Linked DNA regions of Arabidopsis thaliana. The protein of the gene in region 1 interacts with the protein of each later gene in a pairwise test. Each region holds a gene or a part of one and is shown on either strand. Other genes may lie near its edges. The genes, in order: AT2G33710, BLH6, AT1G79220 and GNC.

Region 1 (6,119 bases):
GTTGTAAGTGTTCAATTTGGATAAACCAAATGTATTTGAACCGCCTAGTTAAGCATAACAAACTGATATGAAAAACCGTACAATTTTTTTGTTAACATTAGTTTTATATATCCTAAAAACCAAAAATCGATTTATAATCCAATAAAAAAATATGGCTGCTTTGCCAATTCAATTGATTCTGATCTGAAACTAAAACCGCAATTTTTGTTTGTGTTGATTACTTGATTACTGTTTTTAAGAAATCTTTAAGCTCACAATAAAGAAACTAACAAATTGAAAATTCCTAGATAAATTAATTCATTTGAAAAAAATGAATCTAAAATTTTCATATTTTACACCACAGCAAATAGCACTTGATATTGAATCAACATTAAATAGTATTCGTTCTTTTACTTTTAAAAATCCATTAAAAATCAGGGTATCACCTATATGTTATAGTCATTAGAACATAAATATAAATTATATATGTGTGTGTTTCATTGTTATACATATTAACACACTGATATATGAGTAAATGAATTATAATATATTTGTATGAGTGAAGAACTCACAGAAGGGTGATACAAGGAACAAGATTAAAAGAAGCCTGTTTTCTTTGAGTTCATCTCTATATTTTTTCTTTCTTTTTTCTTTTTGTATTTTGTTTGTTGTGATTTGTGAGTTATGATGGTAATTTGTGTTCTAAATTGGGTTTAATATATTAGGATAGTTTTTATCCTCTTTTATGAGGTCAATACATACAAATGATTTTGGTATTAAAATGTTTAGATTTCATACCTATATTATTTATTATGATTAATTGAGAAACACTATATAAAACAATAGCAATTTATGATATCATATACTATTATTGTTTAATGAATCTATACGTAAATTATTATGTTTTGATGATACATAGCATTTAACATAAATAGTGTAGATTTGATAGTGTCCACATGTAATCATCTAAGAGGCATATTAGTTCTGATTTTAATTTTGTGATCGCGATTCTTTGTGGATTTGTCCATCAAATTACGTGATTTTTTTTTTTTTTTGCAAAAAACAGGTTAAATGGTTCTGATTACTCAATAAAACACACAAGATGTGAATTTGATTTTTAAAAACATAAAACATATTTTCACAGATAATAATTTTCATGAATAATTTTTCATAATGTTGAACCTTTTTCTCCATTCAGTTATTTAACTGGTGAAAGATACACTTATATGAAATAATCGCAAATTTGAATAGAACAAAAAAACTTTTACTACATGTTTTGTTTTATACACTAGCAGTCGATATGTGTATCCTATATAATAATTTATTTATAATAATTTTACTTGAATCGTTTTTTAATCGTTTCATATGCAGACTGTTACCTAGTTTAGTTTCATTTTTATTTACCAACCATTTCATCATTCAACGCGTTGAAAAATATATGAGCATTGGATAATAAGACAGATATAAATGTAAGTACATATTTAAAAAAATTTAGCTTATGTTTTGGAAACTCGAACACCCTCATCATGTGTATACCCTCTATATTTGTTTTTGAACTTTTTTTTTTATCTCTTTCGTACGTGATACAAAAGGATAAACTAGCAAGCTACTTCGGAGTGGAAAGACATAAAGCACCATGTACGAGCTTTTTTCTACCTGATATACTCGACCCAACCTGATCCGACCGGTCCGGTCAACACATTATCTCATTTGATCGGTCGATCAGGTGAGGCATGTTGTTGTCTCCGTCGGTCATCTTCTGTGGATATAGTCGTCATGACCTATCAGGACGTTTTCCAAGCTAAGTAGTCTTCATCCCATTCTTGCATAGTCATGTTCAAAATTTATATATTTTTCATCCATAAGGCCTGATTCCTAGCTAAATCCACTCCATAGACTCTTTAAAGACTACCAAAATGAAGTCGTAAAGAGATTAAGCGCCTAAAATGATCAAAGCCGGAGGTCAATGCGTTTGATAACTTGGACGAAGAGATATTTATGCCATTAACATGTTATTTTCGTCGTTTGTGGATACTAATGTTCTTCACGTTTTCACCATCCTCCAAATTTGGTCTTAGCCCTTGATGATTCAAAGATGAAGACGAAGAAGACAGCATATTCATGGACAAGTTGGCACTGGAATCACTACTTCGAGATTGAAAGTGGCCATATTGATCAAGAAGTATGTCAGGAGCAATTGGTGGAGGTGGACTAGGTGGTGTCACGATAATGCGATCATGGGAAGTAGCGGGCGATGGATAGAGTTGAGTAGGGTTGACACGAATATGCTCGGGGAAGTTAAGCTTGGCCTTGTGACCTCTAAACTCAAATGCAGCTTTATCATACGCTAAGGCGGCTTCTTCTGCAGTGTCGAACGTCCCAAGCCACACACGAGCTGCCTTGTTCGGGTCACGAATCTCAGCCGCCCATTTTCCCCACGGTCTTTGCCTCACGCCTCTGTAGTTTCGTTGCCTCGAGTTACTTTTTTCTGTAGAAAAATGATGAAAATTGTAAGTTCACTCTTGTCATGAAAATGGTGACTTAAATGTGACGTGCATGTCTATGAATATAACGTATACTATCGGTGTAGAGGCATTTCGTAAAGATTATTAAAGGGCGTTTGAATCATATGATATGATCATTCTACATCAACTTTTATTCCCCTCTTCTACATCTACTTATGAAATCTATATATTAGGCCAAACCTACATTTATACATTCCTCTCTCTCGTAATTGGTAATTAACTATATATATACTTATGTATCACACCAATGATATAATTAGGATATAAATTAAGTTTGATCATTTTAAATACGTTTTCCCCATGTTACAATCCTAAAACTCTCTCTGGCTAGTTATCTCAACCAAAATACGACCATTGCAACCAAGCCTTGCCAATCATATTTGTCCGAAAGCCAAATATGATCAATTTTGTCCAACCAATAAAGCCGACAGGTTTTTTCAAGAAAATCTAACCATGAACATTCATTAAAAAAATCATATAGTAAATTGAACTAATGCATTGTGGCCATACATGAAATTATATCTCTATTTGATCAAGGCCATGCTGCAGCCACTAAAGGATTACCAATTGCAAAATCCAAGATTAAATCATTCCTATGTGTAAAGAGAATCACCAATGGAAAAGACAATCACTCGAGTTATAAAGTATAGCAATTAAAATTATTGGAAAAAGGATCTGATGAAATTACCTTGAAGAGTAAGCGACGAAGATTGATCATCAATGGATGATGGGATGGGTTGACCAGTGAGTTCAGAGACAAAATCAGACACATCAGATTCCGACAAAGTTGAGCAACAACACAACTCTTTTTTCTCTTCTCTATTTCCGGCCATTGATTCTGGTGATAGAGGTCTCTTCCCGCTATGCATTATCCGATGATGTCAATTATGATTATTTTTATTTTATTTTTGAAGTCAAAGATGGGTTTGGGTACAAGCCAAAGAACCAGCAAAGATGTCTATTCTCTGCATCTATGTTATATATAGACGCACACGCATGTATTTGTTGACCAATATTATAGAGAGTTTGTCTAACCTAGAGGATATTTTGGTCATAAACATTACACACACTTTTTTGTTCCTTAAAAACAATTCTTTGTATTCATCTCTTTAATTTTCCTTAACAAACGTTACATTACGGACTGCATCGACCGACCCACTATGTAGTTGTATTAATGGTTTGTGTTAACCCAAAATCGATTGCGTGTCTCAAAAGACGAAAAAAAAAACGACTGTCTTATACAAAATTCATTAATTATGATCCAAGTCTTGTGTTAATTACGGTCAACATTTTAAGTTAAAATTAATTATTTATTATATATGTGGTGGATTTAAATAATTATTTTCATCCTGAACATTAAAGGGTTAATAATTTACCTAAATGACTCACCAAAAAATTAATTTACCTAAATGACCATGATGAATATCTAATTATTTAGGTAAATGAGCAAATGACAAACATATAATCAAAGAAACACTTTAATATATATAAACATGTAAACACCAATTATTTAGGTAAATAATGTATTTTCTATCATTTGACTTTAATGTCTTTATATATATATATATATATATATATATAGATACATATGTGTTTTGCACAATCATTTTATTTTAATAAACAACGTACTGTATAAATCACATAAATAAAATAGCATAATATTTTTGCTAATTAAAAGTCGCTTATGTCATCCAATACAGTTGAGTGTGTTTTTAAATTGTTTTATGTAATATATAAAAGTTCATGGTTAATTAGGATGAATATTCAAAATTAAAGGACAAACTCTGTTTCTATTCGCTACATATATAGTTTTACGGAATACACTCTGCACAAGTCATCATAAAACAACTGGAATGGAATATGCGATGAATCTCTTTAATAATAATATGTGGGATCTGACTGTGGATTCTAATCTAATATTTCTATTATAAGCAATTTGGACGATTCGTGCCATTTTAAAAATGGTTGAGGGATTTTTTTATGGGGTTGAATATTGTCATTGCGCCTTATCAGAAACACAAAAACAAAAAAAATATTGTCATTACATGCATGATGTTGATGAATTATTTTTCAATCATATAAACTTGTGGTTGAAGAAAAAGCACAATATTTAACAAACAAAAACATAACCTGAAACAATATAAACTTACTTTCTAAATTAATAAAACATTTGACCGAATGGGGAATCTAAAAGTGTGTCATATAAGATATTGATTTAAAGACCTAGATGACGTATGGGCTTACATAATATGTGGTCAACATTGAATATTATAGTCAGAGCAAACTTCGCACGAACAAATCAACTCCAATCTCACACCAATAGCATAAGACCATGCCGTAGTCTATATGATTGCCACAAAAGAATTATTCTTATTGGCCAACTTTGACCTAGTGTTATATTTGTATTTATATCTTTTAATTAAGTATTTATTGAATTATGTATATACATTGATTGTTGCATTCATCTTTTTTACTTAGTATGCCATCTATTCAATTAGATGAACACATTGTAATACTATAATAAATTACGTATGTTTAGTTACGATAGTGCTTTAATTTTGATCTAAACCACATGATCTAGTCAGAACGCTTTGATCGATATTTGTTTGTGTTTATTTTTTTTGTTGTTGCTAAATTGTAAATATCAGTAAGGAATGAAAGTTGGGGCGTACAAGAAGTTAGACCTATAAATATAATTGCTACTTTGCCAAAAAGGTATAAAAACAAGGGAACATATACAAGAGAATTTTATGAGATTCAATAAAAGAGCTTTAGTGGAGCCACACGGTTGCATCAGTCTTGAGAAGCTGCGCAAATGTCGTCTTGCTGAGATTGAGTTACGGAGTAACTTGTATATTGTTTTGGAGTAACTTGTGCTTGGGTTCAATTGGTTTACTAGTACTTTATGTAGCAAGTTATAGAACAGTTCATATCTGTATATACAGTTTGTGAGGGTGGCATTTCCACAGTCTCTATTGGTATTGTATGTTTATGAGACAATTCATGTTACGTATATGAATTGTTACAAAACTTTATGTTGTGACCAGCTACAAAATTAGTTACCAAGTCAATATCCATGGCCACGACAACACAATAGCGGCCACTATACTAGTGAACAAATCATCGGTAGCTATACTTCTTGGAAATGGTAATGAATACTACAAAAATAACCCCACAATATTCTTAAGTTTTTTGTGTGGCTACACGCCTACACTAGCTTAGTCATGGATAAAGTCGTTTACATATGTGATATGTCCGCCTAACCAATGAGGATTCTGATTTCTGAATCGGGCAGATTTGTCCGGAACACGATCTATGCTCATGTAGGTCCTCATCACTCTTGCAATGATCTTTACCACAATTAATTCACAAATTCAACTTAAAATCTTATAAGTTGAAAAAGCTCCGATCCTCCCTCTTTGTTCACATTAAAACAAAACAGAACTTATTGAACACATATCTGCATGACTGCATTTTAAAAAGAAAACTAGCTGTATTGGGCTATGTTGTGGGCTTCGCTAGCCCATGTAGGTTGAATATCTCTTGTCATAGTAATGACCATCTATATTGAAATAAAATTCTTATGATAACACAAACCATATTAAATCTGAACAT
Region 2 (6,922 bases), on another chromosome or scaffold:
GTATAATTGTGTCAAGTATTTTAGGACACCAGTTAGATGTGAAACTCATGATTGTTTGATAAGACTGAAACACTAAAGAGTCTCTTTCTCGACATTATCCATATGATTGATTATTCCTCATGAATGTGTTTTCTTGTTTGTCTTTTAATCATCTTAATTCATTCTCTTTAGTATTCTGCAAGGTCATAAACTTGTTCTTGCCACAATGATGCTGCCTAATTGCTTAGATTGTGACAAATTGAGATGCTTTCTGTTGATTCTGTGTCCAAAACTCTATTTGCATAAGGCTACAATCCTTAATTCATTTGCTTCTCTCAGTCATGTTTGGTTGTTTCTACACCTAATGCATTTCATCTGGTGCAAGTTTTCTGTGAGGCTTGGTTTTGCTTGTATGATTGATTTGATTAGACTGGTTTAAAAGTCTAAATCCACACAGTTCTTGGTGTCTAACTAAACTTCTTTTTTATTTTGTGCAACTGTTGAAAGAAATTGATTTTCACTCTATGGTACTCGAATAATGCAGGTACTGGTTATCTGTTGGAGCTCAACCAACAGACACAGTGGAAAGCATGCTTTTCAGGGCCGGTTTGATACCACCAAAGCCTATGGTAGTGGTCGGTTCGAAAAATGGGCAGAAGTCTACGAGCCAACATGTTTCACCCATTACAGGTGAAATCTTGAACTAAGAGTGTTGATGCGTTGAGCAAGAAAGAGCCTTTTGTGTCTGTGTGAAAGGAGTTTATGTAATGTTGTTTAAGACTTTTCTGTTTATGTGAAAGGAGTTAATGTAATGTTGTTTAAGACTTTTGCTTTCTATGTGAAAGCAGTTTAATGTTATGTTGGTTAAGACTTTTCTGCAACAGAGTTTGGTGAATTTTTATTCTTTAATATGAGCATGCCTTTTTACATTTAACAATTCTCACTTTAGACTAAATAGGCTTTGGTAAGAGGCCCATATTTTCAAAAATAAGATTCATTCTCAATATCTGGATTGTATGCTAAAAAAAGGAATTAGGCCCATATTTGCTCAAAAAAAAAAAAAAAAAAAGTTATCTGCCTGAATATGATCTTGGACATTAGAACCTCGTTCTTACCTTTTATGTATATCTTTACTTCTACATGGTAGTAGTTATATAATCTCGTTGATCTTGAAATTAGTTCTTATTCTCATATAGGTCTGAAACTCTTATATTGCTTCTCTTCAAAATTTTGTTCCGTCTTTTTGGTTTCAATATCTGCCAAAATGTATTTGTATCGTCTATATGTGTTAAAAACACATGCAAGAGACTAGTAACTAGACAATAATCTATTTCAAACTAAATTGGTCTTCTAATAAAAATGTTATAGTTATGGAAAAAAGGATGTGTCTTTGGGACATTACAGCTCTATTGGGCCAACAAAATCTCTCGCTTCGTATCCCATTAGATTCTCTCTTTCTCTCTCTCTCTCTCTCTTCCTTCAGAGATGTTCATTGTTCGTATTATTACGGCATCTCTGGCTCTGACCCTCTCGCTGCAACATCTGTCCCTATTCAGACAGCTATACCTCTATTTTCATTCTACACCTAATACTTTATATTTCTTCAAAAATCCACCCTGATCAACTTCCTATCACTATCTAAGTCATTCTCATTATCTTTGTGTTGTTGCTCTCAAGTCTCGCCCATGGAACTAACGATTCTCTCAGCCTCTAATCAGTATTGGACCCTAGTCTTAAAGATTATAGTAGTTACCAAGTTAGGACTTAGGACTTAGGATATAGACTTCTGTCAAACAAGAAAGTGAATGCTAAGTTTAGAAGCATTTGAAAGAAAAAGTACTAATCCATAAATATCTACAAGTTGTTTCCAGGAAAAGACAAAACTCAGTGGGGAAAACGAGCACTTATGGTGTTTACAAAATGAAAATAAAAAAGAAGAAAAAGTTGTGTTTGTTATTTTTTGGGACCCTTATTTCTTTAATAGTTGCATAGCCTCTGGACGACCAGAGTCCACGAATGTATAATCAGATACCAAAAAAGTATGAAAGAAATATATAAAGAAAAGGAAGAAGAAACAATCATGGCTTGGCTTACTTAAAAAGTAAAGTAGCTAATACTCTTAATCAAAACTCACATAATAAACATTAGTTATGTGTTTATAATGATAAGTTAATGACCTATTCATCAGAAAAACAAGTTGTGATATATATACTTAATCAAAATTCACCACGATCTACTAATCTGCTAAATTTTTATTGTTTACTTGCAAAATAAACTATATAACTCAACACTTCCGAATTTAAATTTAAATTTAAGATGACTTTATGTCAAGAAGCTAGTAGCATCTTTGATTCTTTGTACTTTTCAACTTAAGTAAAGAAAATAGAAATGTGATTATATGGAGGATATTGATTTAATCAATGTGTAATTAAGAGACAGAGAGTGATAAGGATTGGGATTAAGATTAGGTTTAGGATTGGGAGAAAGATGAAGAGAGAGGGGTTTAGGTCGACCAACTGGTTGTTAAAGATAGAAACTCCTTAACCATACATTTATATAACATTTTCACAATAATTTTCTTCTCTTTACCAAAGACTTGACTCCAGGAATCAATAAGCAAGAAGCAGGAGGTTCAAGCACCAACCAGATTATGGCTTTCTGAAGCAATATCTTCAGAAAACAAAATAAAGTTTTTATTTGATTTTCTTATTACCATATTATATACTATTAAATAAGAAATTCAAAGTTTTTTTTTTCCATTCTTTCTTTCTTCCGGAGGAGGGAGAGTATGATATGGGTCTTTCACGTGTGACATTGATGAGATGATGAATTCAAATTATATCTCATACCAAAAAAAAAACACAACCAAGAGAAAGAGGCGTAACCTTCTGATTTCTTTCTTTTAAGATATCAATAAAATCTTTCACATTTTCTAATTTTTAATTCTTTTCAAGATTTTGTTGTCTCCTTCAACAATCCATCAGAAGTAGCAGTTTGGTTTCCAGGTAATTTACTAATCTTTTTATTTCTATACAATTCTTCTTTTTTTTTTGTTGTCTATGGATTTGGCTTGCATCTCCATAATTGCATGCATAACCATATATTCAAGACATGTTGAAATCTTACATGTTTCTTAGCAATACACTGATTATATGGATCCTGCTCTGTTTCAATTGTTTTTGAATCTGTCTTTAATGTCAAGCATTTCCTCCATAAGGTTAAGTTCTTACGACCTGATCAGAAAACAAGGGACTATGGAACTCAAGTGAGCCAAAAAGAACACTCCATTTCGATGGAGAATTATCCAGAAACACAGTTTATTCCCGGAGATTCAATGATCCAGAATGCTATAGTTTCTTACTCTGAGGAATCAGCCGGTAGAGAAAGAAGAACTGAAGCTAACAATGTCTCAGCCTCACAAGAGAGGCAAGCATTGTCCAGATTTGGGGGAGTTCCACAAATGCAGAACATTGGTCAAGATTTCGGTTCTTGGAGAGATCAAGCGAGTGACAGGAACGGTTTCCAGCTAATGAGCGCGATGGCAGGTGCCACGGGGATTCTTCAGACCGGTCAGGGACTGTCCCTTAGCCTTGGTTCACAGATTCTTCCAGGAATTCATCAGATAAGCCATCAAAATATGGCGCCGAGAGGCAATGAGTATGCAACACAGAGTTTTCCGGGCGGGAATCAGAACTTGGATGTTGTGAGAACAATTCCCAACTCAAAGTATCTTAAGGCGGCTCAACAGCTTCTAGATGAGGCTGTTAATGTAAAGAAAGCTCTAAAGCAGTTTCAGGCAGAGGGAGATAAAAACAATGAGAACCCTCAAGAACCGAATCAGAGCACTCAAGACTCGAGCACGAATCCTCCTGCGGACATCTCTCAGTCGGAGAGACAAGAAATGCAGAGCAAGTTGACAAAACTCTTGTCAATGTTGGATGAGGTAATAACTTGAGACCTAATCTTCTTAATTTGATCATGTGATGGTTACCTTTTATAGGCCTTTTGTTATAATATTTTAAATGCAAAAAAGCATACATTTAAATAAATTGCAGCCATAATGTTGTTACATTTGGTATATATAGGATATGTTGAATATTTAAGAAAATGAGATATTTCTTGATTTTGGTAAAGGTGGATAGAAGATATAAGCAATATTACCAGCAGATGCAGATAGTTGTATCCTCGTTCGATGTGATAGCTGGTTATGGAGCAGCTAAGCCATACACAGCACTCGCCCTTCAAACAATTTCTCGCCATTTTCGTAGCCTAAGGGATGCGATATCCGGACAAATCCTCGTGCTACGTAAATGCCTTGGGGAACAACAAGATGGATCAGATGGGAAAAGAGTTGGGATTATAAGCCGGCTTAAGTACGTTGATCAACATTTAAGACAACAAAGAGGTTTTATGCAACCTCAAGCTTGGAGACCTCAACGCGGTCTACCTGAAAACTCTGTTTTGATTCTCCGTGCTTGGCTCTTTGAGCATTTTCTTCACCCGTAAGTCTCCCTTGAATCTTATCTCCACACATTTTCTTCATAAATAGTGATGATTACTGTTTGAAAACATGAATAGTTACCCAAAGGATTCTGATAAGATCATGCTAGCAAGACAAACGGGCTTGAGCCGCGGTCAGGTAAGGAATGTTTTATTTGAAGATTGTTTCTTTCTCTTCATAGTATAGTTTATTTATTGATTGTTGTGTGTTTTATGTTTGTAAAAGGTTTCAAACTGGTTCATAAATGCACGAGTGCGTTTATGGAAGCCAATGGTGGAGGAGATATACAAGGAGGAATTCACAGAGAATGATTCCAACTCGTCTTCCGAAAATACACCGAAAATGTCTGAGATAGGACCTGTTGCTGCTGATGATGAAGATCGAGCTCGAGAGTTTTCACAAGACCAGACCAAACCGGACCATGGACATGGATATGGCGAGGAAACTCGTGGCATGGTCCAAGGCAGTCATATGGATGGTCGCCGGTTCATGGCAGTTGAGCCTACATATCATGTGGCTGATACGTCAAGATTGGGTCGTGGTGATGTGTCCTTGACTCTAGGGCTTCAAAACTCTCAAGGACAGGACAATGTTGTGGCTATGTCTAGTGAGGCATACAACAACTTTTCCGGGGTGGATATTTACGAGAATGCCATCCCGGGAGATGAAATGGAGTATGTAAACCCCGGAAGTCGCCAGAACCGGATAAATTCTTCACAATTGGTACATGATTTTGTAGCTTGAAGAAGTAAGCAATGGAGAGGAATAAAGCATAGGTGTGATGAACTTATGATCAGTCTCAATTCTGTAGTGGAAGAATGTTGGTCAGAAGAAAAAGTTTTAGAAATATTTGTATAAAGTAAACATTCTTTTGTACAAGAATATAAGTGAGGTTAGGTCATTGGGACCAAACAGAATATGGTAAATGCAATTTGAGATCTGCAAGAGATGGACATTACACTGTAGACTTATTATCTTATCACATCTACGAAACTGCAACGTTCCCAATTCTCTTCTCTTTTTTTTTGTCTGGCACATATACAATCTGTATCCGTTTTCAGAATTAATCGAATATTTCAATATTAATTTTGATCATAAGGATTCTATCAGATAAATTGTAATATTCATCTAATGATGACTATTCACCAAATTTACATTCTGCATGATAGCAAAGAGCACTATCTAATCATTAATTTACTAGAAAACATATCTTGAAACTTATATATATGATTATCATTCAAACTTATTGCAGTGTTAGTATTTAGGTTTACATATATTATACATCTCAGAAAGTCTGGCATCTATATATAGTCGATCGGTGATATGCATGATCAGTTGGGAATAAGCTTGAAAGGAGGTCTCACGAGCTTTGGTTTAGGACTGGAGTGGCCATAGTCTCTTGAATTCATTCTCAGAATTCTCTCATGCTCATGTATTCTTCTTTCTACTACCTGTCCACAAATAGAATGTATTCACCAACGTACAAAATTGTTCTTGAAATCATATAACTACGATCTTGATTATCAATTTGTTCGGTTTTTTACTAAGTAAAGATATACAACGCACGGTAGTTGGCAACTTTTTTTGGAGTTAAAACGAATACCTCGGGATGATCATCTTCTTGGCTATAGATTAAAATGGATGATCGGCCTACAAAAAAGAAAAAAAAAAGAGACTTAAGCTTGTCTATTCTTTATATCCAAGATTAATCAATCCAAATAACACTAACGTAACATACTATGTCGTTAATTTTCTCCTTTAGTCGTCATTAACACACATGTGGAGAGCACAAGCTCTTAATGTTATTATCTTACTTTCTAAAAGACTGATCTCAGTAGGAGGCACATGAAGTTGCAGAGAAAAGCTGCAAACAAAGGAATATAAATATGTAGATAGAGAGAGAGAAAAAAAAGTAAGAAACAAACCTGCAGAACAGAGAGCAAACGCTGAAGCTGAAACTAGAAGAAAGATGATGAAACCTAGTTTCTTCACCAATGGCAACAAACCCATCTTCTTTCTCCTTTCAATTTTTGATGTGCCTTAAGCTGTATCTTGTGTATTTAGATACACGTACCTTATCAAAAAAAAGAGAAGCCAATGCGTTTGGTATATCACTATATATAATCTCTAAAGAAATAACACGATTAAAAGTTAACTAATTTGTTTAGCCAACGTGAATGCTTTAAATAAAAAGCAACAATAAAAACCGGTTTAAATAGAGATTAGCTTGAGTTTCAAAATTAGATTGTATCAATTACAAATAAATAAAAATAGTAAAATACCATAACAACAATTGATTTATCCATCATTTAATTAATGCAAATATCTCTTAATGCTTTTAATTAAAAAAATTGTTCATGGAAATGGTGGGATTGGAGAAAAAGTTGAAAGGAGACTACTTTCCTATTGTTGGCCACAATAAGTCTAAAGAGGTTAGTGACC
Region 3 (5,778 bases), on another chromosome or scaffold:
AACCAGAACTCACCACCATACACGGGCTGCACTAAAGATCCCCTTTCCATCATAGACAACCACTTCATCTTTGTTATCAATTCCAAGAGCAGAACAACCAGCAGCAAAAGCTTCCTCAGTGGGCAACATATGTGGCAACTGTTACAAGTAGTTAATATATCATACAATACTTTAGATGATTCCCTTAAGATCGGGGCAAAGAGATGTCTTAATGAAAACACATAATAACATATACTAACATTAAAGAGTCCAGACTTATTACTTTATCTCACATAAGAAAAAGCTACATACTATCTTAAAAATGGCAGCAAAAGAAGATAATATCTATCGATAAGGTTTCATTTATGCATAAAAGCGATATCAATGTGAAGTGAAAACTTCAAAGTAAACTGCAGGGGTACATCTTCTGTAAAAGAAAAGATGGCGATACTTACACTAGTTTTTCGATCTGATATTCCATCCAAATCAAAGAAGAGAGCGCGGGGAATATGAGCAACCTATATAGGAGAGGACACAGTTTATGTCCGACAGTATCATCAAATAGTGTACTAAGTGTGGTTTCGCTCATCCAGAATGAATACAACCTGAACAATTGTGAAAACAAAGAAGTTCTCAAAATTCTATCTGTTCATACTCTCACCTGATATTCTTGGATCGGATTTCTCTGCTCATCCGGCATATACCATGAAGCATCCAAAATCTGAACAGCATACAAACAGGTAAGTTTAAGTTTGGCAGACATATTCTCCAAGAAGTGAACTAGGAGAAAGGGCAGTCACCTTCAAATCAGGCTCTCTAAGATTAGCATGAAGCCAATCAACAGAAACAACAGGTTCACTGGTTGATACGGATGATGTGGAGTAACCGGCTTTTGTCTCAACTCCAGTAGAAGCCATAGCTCGACGAGCCCAAGTAGTTGATTTATAGGCTGTAGAAGCGGAGCCTAACTGAGAGTGGAGTGACCTCTTCAGCAATTACCAACACAAGAAGAGGAAGACCAACCAAAAAGTCAGAATCATATACAGAGAGGCGAAACTGAGCAATTCACATAAAACTTCACTACCTAATTTATGATTACAAAACTCATAAGTCCAATTTCAAACTTTGATAAGAAAAGCATCGATTGACATAGACCTCATCAACAATTAAGCAATTCTCTATAGTCTATTCAACATTTCAAAAGCTCGAAAACCCAGTAGAACCACTGTCAAATCATAGAAACAATCCAAACGCTCGAAATCAATCCAGACACTCTCAAACCCAGAAGCTAACGAGTGGTCAAACGAATGGCTAATTGAGAACAGATCGCGAATCAGATATCGACTTACACTGAGAAAGGTGGCTGGATTAAAGATCTTTTGCGGAAGAGAAGGAGTAATCAGTCGGTGACTAGCAGCCAAGAAAGTTCTGGAGAAAAGGGTCGAGGCCATATCCACCTCAAATATTCTCTCGATAAAATGCAACAGAGATGATGGGTTGAGTTAGAAAGACGCCAAAACTATTTGCTGTCAGATTGATTCTCTTCAAGTACTAAACCCAAAAAGGTTGCAACTTTGCAAACGTTTTTATCAATAAAGAGGATTTTGTCACTGCCGCCACGAACGGGTCTGGAAGAGAGACACGTCTAGGGCGTCTTTGGCGTTTCGTTTCACCAAACGTGCTTCTTCGCGTTTTGTGTTTTGATATTTTTCTATTCCGGTTTAACTAATCTGATCTAAACCAAAACATGAACCGATTCAAAAGTATCCATTGATAAAGCTGGAAAATTCTACACAATGTTACATCTTTAATGAACATATCCAAAGAAACAAAAGATGAAAAAGAGATTCAAAAGGGGAATCCTTTACGGATGTATTTCTTGGATTTCTCAGCTAAACGTTTCATGTTTTTGGATTTCTCGTAAAACTCCATCAGCTCGGTTGCAATATCTTGTGGATGACACATTACATAAACCTTCAAGAACCGTTTCTCGCTCATCCTTACCGCTCTGAAAATGCTCACTTCTTTTATCAATGGCTTTAGACGCATTTCCAAGACTCTCTTAACGAGATCCGCACGAGGTTTTAGACGAGACTCGAGGTTGAGGAGAAGCAAACAAGGGTGCTTAACCACGGAATGAGCTGGAAGTTTCATCGAGGCTATGACGAAAGTCATGTTTCTCTGAACTTTCTCAACAGAGAGAGAGAGAAGGATTGGGCATTTTCCATACAGGTGCCAAATCTCTTCTTCCGAGAACCCAAACTTTTCCAAGTTTCTAACTTTCTCTTCGATTGTCTCCATCCTCGAGACCCCGATGATGACTGCAACATATTTAAACATCTTGGATTCTCTGGTGACTCCAGTTTTCTCAATGTATTCAAACTTCTCATTGTTAAAGTTTGTTCTTGGAATCAACGTGGGTCGCGATATCAACATTGCGACAAGATCCTGTTGGCTAAAGCCCAACCCTTTGTAGTATTCTATCGCGGGTTTGATCTTGTCATCGAGGTCATACAACATGAGTGACGGATTCCGGATAATGACTCTGCGCAACACCTCTTTTGACCCCAAAATCTCCATGAAGTAGTTGATCCTTTCATCAAGGACAAGACGGCAACTAAAGAACCTAGGACGACAGTTAAGAATCTTCACAAGGTCTGAAGACGTGATTCCCAGTGGCTTAAGAAGGCTTAACTTAAACTCTAACTGAGCAACATTGGCTCTCTGCAAAGCAGGCCTACGAGTAAAAAGCTTGGATATTTCATCATCATCACAACCCCATCTTCGTAAAACTTGTAAAGGACTACTAGTAATATCTCTCACTTTCTCTTTTTCACCAACTTCTCCAACATAATCAAATTTTTTTCTCCTAGACGATAGATCAGAATCCTCAATGCATTCTTCAGATTCATTCAGGCATAACGTCGAACACCTGGTGGTAAAGGTAGCAGAAATGAGATTTCTACAACCAGCCTTTCTGACCAAGCTCGAACTAGTAAACAATAATCTGATAACAGCTAAGAAATTTCTCTTCCCGGTCGAATGCATTTCAAGGGCGTAATCGAGAGTTTAACAAACTGGAGAAATAAAGGAGCAAATTTTCTCTAAGAATCAACAATGGCTCTGCCTCAACGACACAATCAGCGACATTTACACGCGTATTTCAGATGCTTCTTCCATCCAATTTTCCGAAATAGCTAGAAAAAATGGAACAATTACCAGTACACGAAGCTTGTGATGAACGAGCGAAGAAACAAACTCCGACCAACGGAGGAGAGTTTGTCAGAGAAGAAGGAGGCGATGGAGAGAGACACAGCCAATTCGGACCAGGTTTGAGTCCGAGTCGGGCGTGGAAGCGAGAGAGAGTAGGGGACTAGGGGTAGTAAATAAATAATGTGGTTCAAACTGAAAAGAGATATAAAATATTGGACTATTATGTAAGATACAGTAACTGTGAAGTTGTTAAAACGCCGCCGTTTTGGTTTTTTTGTTTCTCTCGTTTTCTGGCGTCAGACTCTCACCCTTTGTGCAAGAAACCTTGAGAGCTTAAAAATTCTTCACTTGGGTCTCTTCTCTCTCTCTTCTCTTGCGACCATTCCGTTCGATCCATATATCAAAGGTATGTTGCTTTGATTGAATGGGTTTCTTTTGTTGAATTTAAATTGATAACTTTAAATATATTGAATTTGGGGTTTAAGAAAAGTTTTCAATTTTCGTCTCTGAGTTTGAGCTAAGAGCTGATCTTTGAGTTTGAGTTTGTGTTTGATTTGATTCACTCACAATTCTTAATTAGGGTTGGTATATCTTGTCTTTTTCATCGTTTTCCTTACACATTGCCCATGGCGATGAGACTCTTCCGGGTTTTTAAGCTTTGTCAGATTTGAACGCTTCAGTCTACTTACTTGCTCAGACGTGGTTTCTTTTCATTTAAGTTTGAACATTGTTGATGAAGAACAGATTTAGCTTCCACGTTTCTAAATTTCCAGAGATGACACTATTTCGCATTTTTTGCAGCTTGATTTAGTTGGTTTTCAATGGGGGACAGTCAGTACTCGTTTTCTCTCACCACCTTCAGGTATTAACTTTGTTTATCATATCAATGTTATCTCTTTCTGAGCATTTGGAACGGTTTCTTCGGGGTTTGATTCATGTTGTGGTTTATGAAACAGCCCATCAGGGAAGCTGGTTCAGATAGAACATGCCCTAACAGCTGTTGGATCAGGCCAAACATCACTTGGAATTAAAGGTTTTTTCAATGATCTAATCAAATTCGAGAGGAGATTTTTAAGGAACATTGTCTTTGGTAATCATGACTGTTGTTTTCTTTATGCAGCTTCAAATGGAGTTGTCATTGCAACTGAAAAGAAACTTCCTTCTATATTGGTTGATGAAGCGTCTGTAAGTTTGATCAACTCTTTATAGCAATTAGTTCTTTTTCATTCTGTGCCTGCTCGTGTTACTTTCCTTTCGGTTGCATAGTTTCAGTAACTCCTACGAAACTAATGTTTATCTATTGTCTGTTTCAGGTTCAAAAGATTCAACATTTGACTCCCAACATTGGAACTGTTTACAGGTTCTTCTCTTCAGCTATCCATACTTCTTTTTTAATAGCGAATTTGGTTTTATAGCTTGCAAATTGGATTTATCATACATTTTTTATTTTGTTTTGGGTACTTAGTCTCTCTCATCAGGTGCTAGTGCTACTGATGGAACCTTTCCCTTAGTACCCTAATGATTTCAGTGCTAACTTTGGTATTGCCTTTTATGTAGTGGTATGGGTCCTGATTTCCGAGTTCTTGTGCGAAAGAGTAGGAAGCAGGCTGAGCAATATCTCCGTCTGTACAAGGTAATCTTTAATATCTTCTGTTTTTTTGTCTTCTTTTCCTGGAGTGTCTAGTAGTACATGTATGATAAAAACTTTGGATTGATGATTCCAGTTGATATAAGTTCTTGCTTATTCATAAATCCAGATCGCTCTGTTGATTCAACTTCTAAGGGCGTTTATTGTTGCAGGAACCCATCCCCGTTACTCAACTTGTAAGGGAAACTGCCACGGTGATGCAAGAGTTCACTCAATCGGGGTAAGTACTATATCGAGTGTTATGTAATTACTTCCTCTCATATGCTCAACAGGGTTCAAAAGTGTTATTGGCTCAGAGATTGCAACTCTAGAGCGAGTCTCTCTATGCACTTTTTAGCTCAGTTTTGATATTGATTTGGCGTGAGATAATGTTGTTAATGCAAATCTGTATTTGCAAACTAGACTACTGAATCTTGCTTCTAATCTCTGTCTCCTTCTGCTGTTAATAGTGGTGTTAGGCCGTTTGGAGTTTCTCTACTGGTGGCTGGGTATGATGACAAGGGTCCACAACTGTATCAAGTAAGTAGAACTTTAAAGAAAATATAACCATCCTGCTCAAAGTGAAGTAAAACCCGTAAACTGAAAACATCTTATTTCATAATTTTCATTGGCCACTAGGTGGATCCATCTGGCTCTTATTTCTCATGGAAAGCTTCTGCAATGGGAAAGAATGTTTCGAATGCAAAGACGTTTCTTGAGAAGAGGTGATAATAATTTACCATTTGTGGTGATGAGTTTATGATCTTGGAAGCATGTCATTTCATCTTAGTCTTTGATCAGGTACACAGAAGATATGGAACTTGATGATGCCATTCACACGGCAATATTGACATTGAAGGAAGGGTGAGCATTTTTACCAAAACTTAATTTACTTTATTTCCAGAGTTCAGAATTTCTCAAAAGCCTATAACCTCCGTGTCTTTTCACAGTTTCGAGGG
Region 4 (6,638 bases), on another chromosome or scaffold:
AGTTATCAGATTAGGTTTTTGTTAATTGTCGTTTTTTGTTAATTTTGTTATTTTTTATTTATATTATAAGTATGATTCAATATTAATATTAGTTAACATTCTCTAAGTGCATGCTTTGTAGCTATGCTTGCATCTATTGGATCAATGTTCATGTATAAATTATGGTTTGTAAAATGCTTATTTAACATCAGTGTGTGTGTGCGTACTATGTGTATATAGTTGATTTAATTTGCTGTAACAAAAATAGATTAGTCATAGACTAGACCAAACTGATGTTTTAAAGTAAAAGTAGTTTACATAGTGATTGTTTTTTTTGGACAGTGATATTTTGAAGCTAAAGTATGTAGATTAGTAATTAATATTGATCATTATAAACCAATGATACATTCATAAGGATCTTAATATTAAAATAGTGTATAGTGAAAAAATAATTATATTTCACATTTTACATTTTTGATATATTTATGATTGGTGTGCTGTACTAGCTACTCATGACCCTAAGTAATAATGTAGCAGCGAAAGAAAAAAGTATTTTTTGATGTGTTGATTCAGACTTAGGTCAACCTATATGTGTTTTTTTTAAGTTTGAAATAAAATTAATTAGATCATTTTTTTTGGATAAAGGGCTTATATTAGTTAGATAATCTAATGAAAAAACTAGAAGAAAATATGTGGGCTTGCAAATATGTCGTCGTCTTAAAATGCAACACAAACGTATTATCTTCTTCACACATGATCTCTTGTCTTATATACGCATTCATATTATCCCATATCAACCATCTTTACCCTCATCTTTATATTTTGTGTTCAGTATATTCTCACAAGCAATTAAATCCAAAATAGTCAATTTAAAGCATTTCTAAGAAAAATTACACTACTATTATGAGCTTCAAAAATATATTTAAATTTTGAATGATACCAAATACTAGACGTACAATTTTAAAGCTGGTAATCCATTTATGATTGAGCTAAATTGTGATGATATGTATATTGTATAAAGATAAACACATAAATAAAAGTACCCTTAATTGATTATATTATTTCTCCAACCTCGTTACACAATACAGTACTATAAAACTTGTAAATGAACAAGAATTACCCACATTATCGGGTGACTAATGTTCGTTCCATCGGAAAACAAAAACACAACAAACTCAAAACCAAAATCTCCATAAACATATATAGAGCTATTAATTATCATATTAAACTCTCACACACTCTTATTATAAAATGTTTTGACTCCTGATATTAGACCAACTGCAAAAACTAAACTAATCACTCCAAGATTTAACAATCAATCATTATTATGATTACTATAATCTATATATTACTATTAAAATAAACCTTTTTGTAATGAGGATATTGTGATGATCTGATCAACCGTGAACCATTCCATACGACAGAGCCATGAGCAAAACAGCAGCCTCCTTCTCATCTTGTGGGAACACTTGTTGATAAGCTGAGCTTTTGCTCAACATTATTGTCAAATCATCGAAGCAAAATTTGTTTGACGAAATCGAAGAATTAGAAGAAGTTGTAGATTTGCTGATCTCTGAATCTCCGGCAACCGTTTCCGCTTCCATTTCCTTCTCCTCTTCCTCTTTGATCTTGCACTTTTTGGCCTTGGCCACCATTGGAGGAGAGTGATTGTATTTTTCCCCTCCGTTTGATCTCTTTTTTTTATTTTGCAACTTCTTTTTCAGCGGTAATTGTTGCACTCGGGGCGCTACCGCCACCTCTTGGTCGCCGGCTGCAGCGGCCGCGGCCATAGCGGCTCGCCTTGCCTTTCTTTGCCGTATACCACATGCGTTACAAAGAGACTGCAATGATAAATGAAAATTAGTATGCGAACTGTAGATGACAAAAAAAAAATCATAGAATGTTGGACTTATGAGTATCATTGATTAAAGTATTAATGTTTAAAGGATGTATCAGGTTTAAATAAATTAAATATCTACATTCTTGAAATATAACTATTAATTTTAAAAATGTGAACTAAACTAGGTAGATATAGATAGTATGACATATATCAAGACAATTTCGATTGAAGTAAGTGTGATTAATCTACCTTGGGACCTCGAGGTCCACTTCGCCAAAGAGGAGTCTTGGTGGTGTTACAATCCGAACAAACCCTAATCACGCCATTGTTATTACTATAACCGTTCTCGTTGATTGTATTGTAGCGATTCTCGGTGGTCGCGGCCGTGGTCTTCCTGGTCAAGACGTTCTTGAAATTAAGATCTTCATGGTGATCCTCGTCGAAATTAGTCTTATGATTCAAAGGGTAGTGATCACTTTCTTTATGATTATTATTATTAGTCTGATCAATGAGCTGTTTATTGTTGGTGATTGTTTTCTTGATCAACCGCATCTTTGGGGACATCAACCACTTGTCGGAGTCTGAATCGGGTTTTGTCGGGTTTTGATGAAGAGGATGGGGTTGGTCTTCGTGATCTTTTTTCCTTATCGTTAGTTTCAGTCTTGTCTCCTTCTTTGGCACCATGTGATCGCATGCTGATGATCCACCGTTAGCCACAAACATCTTGGCCTGGTATATATATATCACCGATCAAGGTTTATAATCAACAACAGATGGAATTGTACATAATAATATAATGATATGGCTTCTTAAGATCCCTCCTTTTTATTTGATAAATTAAATTTCGTCTATATAGAATTCTCGACATACAAATTCAGAAACTAATATTATTGTATGAATTTTACATGATCAGGCATGATTTTAACTGCTAAACTAAAAAGAACGATCGTACAAGAATAACATTTATACACACACACTTAAGGTTGATATGTAATTGTAAATTTACCTTGAGGGGTTGAGAAAGATGGAGATGATCAGCGTGATAAGTGTTGTTGTAGGCAACATGTTGATCTTCTTGAGAGTTGATCAAGAAAGGGAGGTAAGAGGAGAGCGATGAAATGGACGAAGAAGAAGATGAAGAATTAGAAGGGACTTGATGATGATGATGATGATGATGATGATGAAGCGAGGAAGAGGATCCAAGAGGATAGAAAAAGGGTTGTTCGTGATGGTTTTGATCTTCGTTAAGATCTATCGAGTAATGAAAATTTGAATCCATTGATGAGATAAACAAATGAAGACACAAAGAGAGAGAGAAAGAAAGCTAAGATGAGAGATTGAGAGAGATCATAGACGGCAAAAAGAGTCCAAGCTATACTATGTTTGATCCTTTTTAAAGGCAATGAGATGAGACACGAGCCAAACACACATGGTCTCTATTATATTCATATATAAAATATATCAGTTTAATAAATGGTTTACGTGAGTCTAGAGTTAGGGTACTTATGTCTCTGTATACATCAACTTGTACAGTGAATTTTAGAAGACATGGATAAAATACTGTTTTAAAATCCTACTTTCGGACAAGTCCGGATGTCATACCAATGATTTTAATTTTTTTAATGTCCTTTTTATATGTTTTTTTCTAATTTAGAAAAAAAAGCTCTAAACTTCTAGTTTTCTCAAATGACCATAAAGTATTATGAGATTCGAATCCATAATTTTATTTGCATATGCTATAACGGACATGCGATCCAGTAATCCTTGATGAGCTAGTAAAGAAAGCTTGTTGTTTTTTTCTTGGATTGATTTAAGAAAATGGATACAAATAAATAACTGAAATGATCAGTAATAGTAAATGGTCAATATTTACATTAAGAAAGTTGAAAATATATGTATATGTATATATATAATTAATTAATTTAGAGGTTCACGTGAGTCCATGGCACCCATACAAACCAAACACATGAGACAAACTGTGTGTATGTGGAATGGTACTGGACGGCCCCATTCAAAACAAACCCTATCTGTAATTTCCTTACCCCACTAGAGAGACACAGAAAATTAAAAATAAAACCCTAATTTATATAAATATTGGAGAGTGAGAGCCACACAAATCATGATAATAATTGAAACAAATAAGATCCTTTTACTTGTTGTCTTTTCAAATCTAGGGTTTCCTAGATCTCATCAAGGCTCTATTATAGAAAAAGAAAAAAAAAAAAGTCAAAATTTGGATTTCTCATGTTCTTTTCATATGTATATATACCGTTAAACTAAAAATCTACTGTATTCATGAAGAATCACTAAAAAGGTTAGATTTTCAGCTCTATGAATTTTTACTAGATTTTATTAAATCGTATCAGTCAAAACAAATTTAGAATAAATATTGATTGATAAATTTTAGAAAGTATATTACATTCTCTTATTTTCTCAACCAAAAAAAAACAAACTTCTCTTATTTAAAATGAATATCTAACTAGCGTCTGTAAATATGTCTATTGACAAATAAAAAATTAAAAAAAAAAAATGAGAAACAAAAAAGAGTCAATTAGCATTACGTGAAAAAACGTCAAAAATAAATAAATAAATAGAAATGACAAATAGTTAGTGTTTATCTTTCAGATAAGTCAGTGGATCTTCTTAAAATTCCCCTACGAGTAGTGTTAGTTAGTACCTAAAATTATAGACTTTGTTGTGATAAGCCATCAATCATATAACATGGATTGTTAAAAGTTCAAATAAGTCCAACACTGATTCGTTGGTTTATTTCCTGATAATCAAAGTTTACTCAATTGGCATAACAAATTCAAGATCTCTTGAAAACGTAGTATATATGCTATATGTAACTCGTGATCCTTTCAACTGCATGTGATCCATCAATAATCCTCCCAGAGGATAGAGAACGAAATGATCCATGATTGAGAGATAGGAAGCGAGGCAGAGGGAGAAGAGATCAGAGATCTAGAGAGAGGAGATGAATAGAGAGAAGAGATAGGTTTAGAATGGTAAAGGAAGAAAACATCCCACCTTAGTATTGCCAAACTTATTCAATTCCTTCTCATCAGATTATACAGATCATTGAGGACCCCCACACACAAAGAGACAATCCATCTTTATTTTTCAAAATTTAAAATTGGCCCATCAATTTGTAACAATTCTTAAGCTAACTAAATGATCTAAGGAAAAAATAATAATTGATATTAATTTTCTGCTATATTTAGTAGCTTTTTATATGGGATCAGATTATGATCTATATATAACTCCCAATTTTCTAACACATACTATAGGATTTGGTCAATGCATCTTATGATATCACTATTGTTAGAAACGTTTTTTCAATATCACAGTGTACAAAGTCGAATAAGATGTTATGCACTGAGAGAAATGATTTACGCTTTATAGATTATCTACTCCCTCGATCGAACTGAAAGAGACCATATATATAGACGATAGAAACTTCATAGACAACAAAGATAACAATTGGTTTGTGACCAAAACATATGTGTTTTCCATTAGTTACACCTTGTTTAAACTACAACAATCCAAAACAAGCAAAACATTGTATATTAGTGTGCACAAAAGAGCACAATAATGAAAATTGTATGGATGTGAGGATAAATCTCTTCTTTTTTTGATAAACGAGGATAAATCTCATATGTCTCATGTATATTAAGGGCCAAAAAAATCTACACAGACGGGATAAAATCAAATGAAGAAAAGTGATTGTTGAAATTTGAGTTTCCCTTTACTGTACTATCACATGCCAAAAAAGTCATTTGTTTTCTTTTGAGTAATAATAAAATTAGTAAATAATATTACTATTGGTGTCGGGATAAAAATGAAATATTACTATTGGTTACTTTAACGGTAAGTATCTAGATGGGGAAAAAAAAAACTGTACACAAATGAATTGTACTCTTCATTTTTTACATGACTTTGCAGTTGCATCACTTCTCAATCTTGGGTTTGCTTTTCAGGCTCAAAAAAGTTTTTGCCAACTTTTTCATTTCTTACCAAATCGGGTCAGTCCATTAATCAAAACACGTTATAGGAATTTTAACGCATAAAACAAAAAACAAAAACAAAAAACCAGAAGAAAACATGGAAATTGATGATCACGAATGTATATGCAATCTGTTACCGTTAATGCATTAAAACGTAATGAAAAAACATGGAAATTATTTAACAGTACGTGACGTCAATAATAGTACTGTATTACTTTTGAAAAGGTTTAAATGTCTTTAACAAAAAAAAGAAAGGGTTTCAAAGTAAAGTAGCACTATAAAATTTAATCCCATTCTACGATTATCGTTGTCTTAATTATCATTAGCTCTATTACCATTATCATTAAAGGTTGAAAAAAGAAAAGAAAAGAGAACACTGCAAATCAGAGGTAGTTTGACCACTGTTCTTTCTCGTCGATTATATTATAATATTTGACTAAGCTTTCTTTTGTTCTGTGTTCTTGAAAAGCGAGCTGAGCAGAGCCGTTGGATCATGGAAACGGAGATCGATGAGCGAAGAGATAGATAAATAGAGGGAAGAGAGAGATTGGTAGGCTAGCTCTCTGAGCTCTTAAGGGTTTTGTTCTTTCAGGTTCTCAAAAAAGACAGCATGCGATCTATCAATCTCCTTCAATGTTTTAACACATGTACCTCTTTTGAATTATCATCAAAACCGAGTCTAATTTTAAATATTTTCAGTCTCTCTCATATGTAAAATGCAGTGAGCCATCACATGTGCATAGTCATGCGTCTTCAACTATACGTTATATAAGCCAGAAAAAAAAATTCAATATTACATCTTGTTCTTATAT

The links.
Region 2: the proteins of AT2G33710 (region 1) and BLH6 interact in a two-hybrid assay, tested with the Arabidopsis thaliana proteins (one large-scale study listed by BioGRID).
Region 3: the proteins of AT2G33710 (region 1) and AT1G79220 interact in a two-hybrid assay, tested with the Arabidopsis thaliana proteins (one large-scale study listed by BioGRID).
Region 4: the proteins of AT2G33710 (region 1) and GNC interact in a two-hybrid assay, tested with the Arabidopsis thaliana proteins (one large-scale study listed by BioGRID).

What each region holds. Positions count from the first base shown.
Region 1 is NC_003071.7:14,257,280-14,263,398, forward strand, and holds AT2G33710 (Integrase-type DNA-binding superfamily protein), read right to left. Parts: upstream 3,461-6,119; 5' UTR 3,374-3,460; coding exon 3,193-3,373; intron 2,468-3,192; coding exon 2,028-2,467; coding exon of another isoform or gene 1,992-2,027; exon of another isoform or gene 1,761-1,991; coding exon 1,686-1,760; 3' UTR 1,530-1,685; downstream 1-1,529.
Region 2 is NC_003075.7:16,528,848-16,535,769, reverse strand, and holds BLH6 (BEL1-like homeodomain 6), read left to right. Parts: upstream 1-2,407; 5' UTR 2,408-2,984; exon of another isoform or gene 2,985-3,196; 5' UTR 3,197-3,271; coding exon 3,272-3,922; intron 3,923-4,113; coding exon 4,114-4,481; intron 4,482-4,557; coding exon 4,558-4,618; intron 4,619-4,705; coding exon 4,706-5,224; 3' UTR 5,225-5,424; downstream 5,425-6,922. Other genes in the region: SSR16 (small subunit ribosomal protein 16), read left to right, coding at 524-686; AT4G34600 (uncharacterized protein), read right to left, coding at 5,812-5,931, 6,084-6,130, 6,406-6,490.
Region 3 is NC_003070.9:29,796,476-29,802,253, reverse strand, and holds AT1G79220 (Mitochondrial transcription termination factor family protein), read right to left. Parts: upstream 3,404-5,778; 5' UTR 3,028-3,403; coding exon 1,828-3,027; 3' UTR 1,683-1,827; downstream 1-1,682. Other genes in the region: MST1 (mercaptopyruvate sulfurtransferase 1), read right to left, coding at 14-138, 435-497, 641-700, 780-965, 1,329-1,430; AT1G79210 (N-terminal nucleophile aminohydrolases (Ntn hydrolases) superfamily protein), read left to right, coding at 4,014-4,054, 4,149-4,225, 4,313-4,377, 4,506-4,552, 4,750-4,825, 4,993-5,060, 5,290-5,359, 5,459-5,544 and 2 more.
Region 4 is NC_003076.8:22,988,254-22,994,891, forward strand, and holds GNC (GATA type zinc finger transcription factor family protein), read right to left. Parts: upstream 3,278-6,638; 5' UTR 3,099-3,277; coding exon 2,826-3,098; intron 2,549-2,825; coding exon 2,069-2,548; intron 1,821-2,068; coding exon 1,377-1,820; 3' UTR 963-1,376; downstream 1-962. UniProt on the Arabidopsis thaliana protein: Transcriptional regulator that specifically binds 5'-GATA-3' or 5'-GAT-3' motifs within gene promoters. Involved in the modulation of chloroplast development, growth and division in a cytokinin-dependent manner.